2 linked regions of the Xenopus tropicalis genome follow. The protein of the gene in region 2 interacts with the protein of the main gene of each other region in a biochemical or structural test. Links are inferred from orthologs where the notes say so. Each region holds a gene or a part of one and is shown on either strand. Other genes may lie near its edges.

Evidence for each region. The genes of interacting proteins can lie anywhere in the genome.
Region 1: the proteins of drap1 (region 2) and dr1 form a complex in vitro, tested with the Homo sapiens proteins (2 studies listed by BioGRID). The link is inferred for Xenopus tropicalis from reciprocal best matches to the Homo sapiens genes DRAP1 and DR1.

The regions. Positions count from the first base shown.
Region 1 is NC_030680.2:104,109,466-104,112,914, forward strand, and holds the end of dr1 (protein Dr1), read right to left. Parts: intron 2,595-3,449; coding exon 2,431-2,594; intron 1,782-2,430; coding exon 1,638-1,781; 3' UTR 536-1,637; downstream 1-535. UniProt on the Homo sapiens protein: The association of the DR1/DRAP1 heterodimer with TBP results in a functional repression of both activated and basal transcription of class II genes.
Region 2 is NC_030680.2:38,501,401-38,505,157, reverse strand, and holds the start of drap1 (dr1-associated corepressor), read right to left. Parts: upstream 2,666-3,757; 5' UTR 2,601-2,665; coding exon of another isoform or gene 2,559-2,600; exon of another isoform or gene 2,187-2,558; coding exon of another isoform or gene 2,178-2,186; intron 1-2,177. UniProt on the Homo sapiens protein: The association of the DR1/DRAP1 heterodimer with TBP results in a functional repression of both activated and basal transcription of class II genes.

The sequences.
Region 1 (3,449 bases), about 66 Mb from region 2:
TTTGCAGAAAAAAAAGCCTCCTGCCATGGCTATTTTGCTCAGTTGTGCTTTCATTTGATTTCAGGTGTTAATATTCTAAATACCAGGTGGTTATTTTTGGCATTTTCATGCAACAGCAAACAAAACGCCCAAAATCTCCAACATGTGCCACAGATGTGAACTTCTGACTCAATAAATACTGAAATTCTATTTCTGATAAACTTTGGTAACAACACTTATTCATGAACATGCTCCAGTTGTAAGGTCTCTTACAGCACTAATAAAACAATGCAGTGTCTTATTCAGTACTATCGGTGCAGTACACACTAATATATACATATATATGTAGAACACAGAGTACTCGTGGGACTTAAATTACATGCAAACATTTAATGGTGCAACTCAATGTTTCGGTCCTACACAGAGGACCTTTATCAAGATATCACAAAAGGTCCTCTGTGTAGGACCAAAACACCATTAAATGTTTGCACATAATTGAAGTCTCTGTGTTCTACATGCTGATATTTTTTGCAGCAGCACCTGGGCTTTTCTTGCGTTTTTTTGGGCGAGTGCGCTGCCTTTCATACTAATATATATATATGTGTGTGTGTGCGCGCATCTTGTTACATTGTGACACTGAGCAAACACAAGTCCCTATTTACTTACAGTCACTAAATTCAAGGTGCAGGATAAATGCTAACTAGGACCATACAGCAATGAACTAATCAAATCAAATACAATTAAAAATACAAATATACAACAATTTATAGATGTGACGTGCCAGAGTAAATTTAAAAAAAAAAAAAATCCCTAACATGTTGTTTTGGGGTAAAAAAGAATGAATTTACTTACAACCACAAATATAATTAATACCATCCTTCACATATTTACTTTGCACCAGATGCAGTTTTTAGTTGTGGTTCCCCTTTTAGAAAGAGCTTGGATTTCACATGTCCTTTTTATTAACTCTTAAAGGGTCTTAAAAAAAAAAAAAAAAAGAAAAAGCGCAATTACCATGACAATTTCTAAAAAAAGATCCCTCCCCAGTCAACATGTTTGGGCCAATGTTTCTTCTACTGACACAGTTTTAAATTCCTTGGTTTGCAAAGCCCATAGCAAAGCATCCAATGTTTTTGCCCTGTACAAAGTTTTCACATCCTCCCCTAAAATTCAGTATTACAGACACACTTTCCTGACAGTGATCTTTGACTTCATCATGTGCCTGCCAGACAAGCCAACATCCCTTACCCAACCCACAAAATTAAAAAAAAAACCCCTAAGAATTTTTTTAAGCTTAGTTAAAAGGGAAATGCAAATGTATTTTAGAGTTTCTGTATAAATCTCGCTATATTTAATAAAGATGTATTCTGGTTTAACACTGCTTATTGTTCAAGTTAATGACTGATTGCTAATATAAAATTCTCATAAAGGCTGTTAAAAATTCTCTATTGATATGATACTGAACCTTATTATTAACAGTTCAAAAAGGATATTTGTACATTTATGCTGCATACAAGAGCGGAGACTTAACAGACATCCCTAGAATATCAATAACCAGTCCACCAAGATGCATAAAAAATTTACAATTAAGCATTTTCCACTTCTCTTTGTGCAGGCGAAAAATATTCAAAGGTTGATATTAACATAGCTGGAAATACTCAAATATCATCCTCTTCCTCGTCCTGAGAGGAACCGGCTTGGTTTGAAGCGCTGGCAGTTGCAGCTGCAAGTTGTGCTTGTTGAGCAGCTTGCTGCATTTGTAGCCACTCCTGCTGAGCCAATTCTGCTTGCTGCTGTCTTGCCTAGAACCAAAGCAGAGTTTTAGAGAACAAGCAGTAATTCAAAAACAGACCTGCTTCTTAGAAAAGGAAAGTAGAAATTCTCCCAAGTTCTTCTTCCAATAAAGAAAATAAAGTCACTGAGTAATGTCATAAAAGTCACAAAGTTTATATTAGGAATCGTAGGCCATAAAAATATATTGGATGTTTGCTTTCAACCAGGTGACCTGCCTTTATGTGCTACTAGACCTGATGCATTATGCACCTTTTATAATATCACCAATACCAAAGCCTGATAACTAGATAAATTGTCTCTAAGTTGCAAAAATGCAAAAAAGGGAGATTCTGCTTGGGTCATTGCTTTAAAAATAGTATGTTATAGAATAGGCATGTTCTAGGTCTAGTCTAGACCTAGAAAAGGGTAGGGTATTTTATAGAACATATTGAAGACAAAAAGCAATTTATGCATGTACGATTAACAAGACAGGTTTGATTAACAATTCTTTTGGTTGTTTCAAGCAATAATGTAATTTCATGGAAAGGTATTGCTGGGTCTTTTGTTGCCCAACCACAAGTGTGACTTCACATGGGCAACAAATGAGACTCATACCATTGATCTAAAAGGTTATCTGTCAAATGGAGACCAGTCCTATAAGTAACACCAATCACTTACTTTTGCAAATAGTTCTTGTTGCTGCCTTAGAAGCTCTTCTTCAGGAATGCCAAGATTTTCAAGACGAGAACTTGCTTTTCGTCGTTTTAATGCTACAGTTTTGCATTCTTGCAGGACATCTTTTACCTCGCTGATGTAGGAACCAAAACCCAAACTTTCCAGTGCTAGAAACAAAGACATAAAACACTACACAGTTATTAAATAACAAAATGGCTCTAGAATGGCACACATATCACATAAAGGTCAAAAACATGCAGGCAGGTTAAAGGAACAGTAACACCAAAAAATGAAAGTGTATAAAAGTAACTAAAATATAATGTGCTGCTGCCCTGCACTGGTAAAAGTTGTGTGTTTACTTCAGAAAGTCTACTATAATTTATATAAATAAGCTGCTATGTAGCCCCGGGGGCAGCCATTCAAAGGAGAAAAGGCACAGGCACATAGCAGATAACAGATAAAACACTATTGTATTCTACAGAATTTATCTGTTATCTGCTATGTAACCTGTGCCTTTTCTCCTTTTTTCCAGCTTGAATGGCTGCCCCCGTGGCTACACAGCAGCTTATTATATAAATTATAGTAGTGTTACTGTAGCAAACACACCAGTTTTACCAGTGCAGGGCAACAGTGCATTATATTTTTATTACTTTAAAGCTCTTTCATTTTTTGGTGTTACTGCTCCTTTAATGACCTCATGCTAAAACTGATTATAGTGTGTTAATGTGATAGGTACCCTAAACTGTAAGCTCTACTGGGGCAACGACTGATGTGAATAAAGCTTAATCTCTGTAAAGCCCTGTGGAATATGCACACTATCAATTACTGTGCCATCTCCAGAATATCATGTCCTGGGGATGGCATTTCAGAGATTTGAAAACAGTGTCAGCATACCTTTATGGTGACACACAGAGCTACTAGTAGCAGCTACTTGTCACAACTACAAAAATAGACAATGCTGATCATCTACCGATATTTGTATTTGTGCGTTTTAGCAAAGTAAATTCTCAGTACTGTTGATG
Region 2 (3,757 bases):
ATGTTTTGCCCATACATAACTATTCTTTATAATTCTTTACAGCTATTCTTATAAGGCACAAGCAAATGTTTTTTCTCTATGTCTTTTCACAAATAAAACGTCCCATGGGGCAGGGACTGATGCGAAAGACATTTAATCTCTTTATAGTGCCTACACAAATACACAGCGCTTTATAAATATGACATAATTACATCAGAATTATAAAAAGCACATCTTCAAAAAAAAATTGAGTCTACTAATATCCCAAGAGCCTCAGACAGCTAGGACCAAATGGAACATACCAAAACTCTGCCTCAACATTTCAATGCCCTTAGGACGTTAAAGGAGATTATTCTGATCCAAGTTAGTAAACTCTAATGGTCGCAGGAAAGATTGTTATTGTAATATGTCTGCCTGCTTTAGAATAAATTGGAATGAAATCTGACAGATGTTTTGTTGTGTGCTTGCGAGGGGACATGATTACTCTGTACAAGTTTGGGGAGGTTGGGGAATGCCCTTCCGAGTGATGGCAGATTCTGTTAATGCCTTTAAGAGGGGCCTGGATAGGTTTTTGAACAAGCAGACTATCAAAGGTTATTGTGATACTAATATCTACAGTTAGAATTGATGTTGGTATATATAGTTTATGTATGTGAGTGTATAGATAGGTCAGTATATGTTTGTGTGTTGCTGTTACTTGGATGGGTTGAGCTTGATGGACTCTTTTTTCAACCCTATGTAACTATATGAACATGTATCTATACTGAGATAATCGTAGATCTTAAAATCACTATAGACATGGATATTGTGCTTGTCCAAGAAATTACCCAAGCCCCTCTTAAAAGCATTGACAGAATCTGCCAGCAGGGCATTCCACAACCTCACTGCCCTTACCATAAAAAAAATCACCTAAGCTGCTTCAAAGTTCAGTTGCTCAAGTCTAAAGGGGACTTCTTATTCTTTCATCTTTTCTGTGGGAAAAAACAATTCCCTGCTATCTGTTCACAATGTCCTCTAATGTATTTAAAAAAGGGAAATTGTGCCCCTTCGAAGGGGAAGTAAATATAGAAGGCAGAGAAACAGTCTATGCTTACTGAAGTAGACATGAGAACCAACAGAGGTGGGAGCAGAAAAATCACAAACACTAGGTTTTTATTAAATAAATAAATATAACTTTGAACATTTTCTAAATAGTTAGAAGTAAGTTATTTCTAAATAAAAGAAGAACTGCAATGGTTATGTTAAGCTCACTAAAACGCAGGGGTTACCACTGCTCTAGGAAGCTTCAGCAATAAGATATAGCAGATAAAATGTCCGATAGTGAGCCCTGGCAAATTTACCCTTTAGTACTATTAAAAAAAAATCCCATCATACTAAGCAATTTAGGCAAAGGATGACAATGAATGGTTAGAGAAGAAAGTATTGGTTAAGGCAGGGATCCCCAACCTTTCTTACTCATGAGCCACAGTCAAATGTAAAAAGACTTGGAGAGCAACACAAGCACCATAAAAGTTCATGGAGGAGCCAAATAAGGGCTTTGATTGGCTATTAGGGGCCTCTATGCAACCTATCAGCTTACAGTGGGCTTTATTTGGTAGTAAACCTTGTTTTTATTCAACCAAAACTTGCCCCCAAGTCAGGAATTCAAAAATAACTCCCTGGTTTGGGGGCACTGAGAGCAACTAATGTTAAGGTAATGAGGAAGGCCTACTTGTGCACTGGATGAATAGGATAGCAAGGTGTATGCGTGTCAAACATAAGAACAGTGGTCTTCCAATTGACCAGCCCCCCCCCCCCCCCTTTTAAGGCCCACCACCATTTTACCAGGACACCCCCAATAGGGCCAACTAATTGACCCCCCCCCCCTTTAGCCCCATCATTTGACCAGGGCCCCCCTTCCCCTTTAATTTCCACCATTTGACCTTACCTCCCCCCCCCCAATAAGGCCCAACACTTAACCAGGACCCCCTCATCTAAGGCCCACCACTTGGCCAGGATCCACCCCCACCTTAATTAAAGCCAAAAACTGCCCAGGTCCCTTATCTTCTCACCTTTAAGACCCACCATTTGGCTTGGACCCCCTTAGCCCATAACAAGATCACAGACTCTGTGTATTATCCATTCAGTCACAGCCATAAGAACAGTGTTCACCCCAAAACTTGCTTTAAATGACCTTCATGAAGGGAATTAAATAGTACCTTGGGCATTCTACCCAGCTATGTCCCCGGGTGGCTGCGGGTTGGCCCTGCCAAGGCACCGAACATCCTGGTCGAGGGGCAGATACTCCGTTAAGGAACCAGTGTATTGAACGTAAACAATATATGTTTATAGACTGTACAAAAGGCACTAGTGAGCAATAACAAGCTGCAGCGTGTGCGGATACAGTGTTATTGTTACAATGAGGCTGAATACTCTGCACAACGCTCCTACTGCCCATAACCATAGCGCTGGGCAGAGCAAAAAAGATGCCAAAATCCGGCGCAACGCAAAGGATCCAGAACCAGAGGGGGGTCCTTGCGGGAGATTTTCGGGGAGCCTGTACCAGGAAAGAGCGGTGCGAGAGGAGACCGCCGACTCACCGGGGGAAAACGAGCGTTGTATTTCTTTTTCTTGCTCGGCATCTTCAGCGAGGGAAAGGGCGGGGGAGCAGAACTCAGCTGAGGCCTCCAGAGAAGCGGCAATAGCCACAAGCAGCAGCGCCGGGAGACTGGCAGTGTTCGCGCCCAGCGATGTTCATTAAAGTTGAGCGAATTGAGGAGGAAACACACCCTGCCCCGCTGTGCTCACTGCGCTGCTTCGCGAACAATAAAGTTTATTGACGAGCGCTGCCACTTCAGTGTTGCTTTTGTAGCGAGCAGTTCATTGAGTTGTGTATAAACTAAAGTTGTGTCAGCTTGGCCGCATTGCAAAATGCTTCTGTAGCGGCACACTTTCCCGCTGTAACAAAACCCATGCGATTTTTGTTTTTCTCTGAACTCGGAAATATTGCTGTATTGTTTGGTTTGGATGATGCACATGCCACAATATAAGTAAAGTGCATGGACGGCCGACCCTGAGGTGCTGGGTTGAAGCCAGCCGCGCACTAATGTACAGTATACTGTATTTTTTCTTCAGTGTTAGTGGCTTCCTCTAGTTAATAAAGTTTTTTGAAAAAAATGGAAGCAACAAAACCCTCCCTGTCTAGCAACCCAACATGTCACTGTTTCCGCGGCAACGCGGCCTGGTACAGGAAGTGGGACGCTGCAGCGACGCGACTTCGAATCGCTTAATCTTGTAAGGAATGAGTACATTTCCAGTGATTGGAATAGGCTAGGTTACCTGTTTTCCTGGTCATCGCCTTCTTTTCCTCTAGGTGTACTCTGTAGCTTTCTAGGAGTTCTTGAAAATGGTTTCATATTTTCATGTATATACACACAGAGAATACATACTTTGATCATTTATGTAGTAGGTACATTTTAATATTTACATTTATTTTAATCATTCTGTGGATCTCCACGAACACATATGTATGAATGTGTCTGGATTTGAAGAGAATGAGAGAAAGAAATAATATATATATATATATATATATATATATATTACAAGCTATTCTTTCTCTCATTCTCTTCAAATCCAGACACATTCATACATATGTGTTCGTGGAGATCCACAGAATAACTAAAATAAATGTAAATATTAAAATGTACCTACTACATAAATGATCAAAGTATGTATTCTCTGTGTGTATATACATGAATAAATATATATATATATATATATATATATAAAATACATAGTG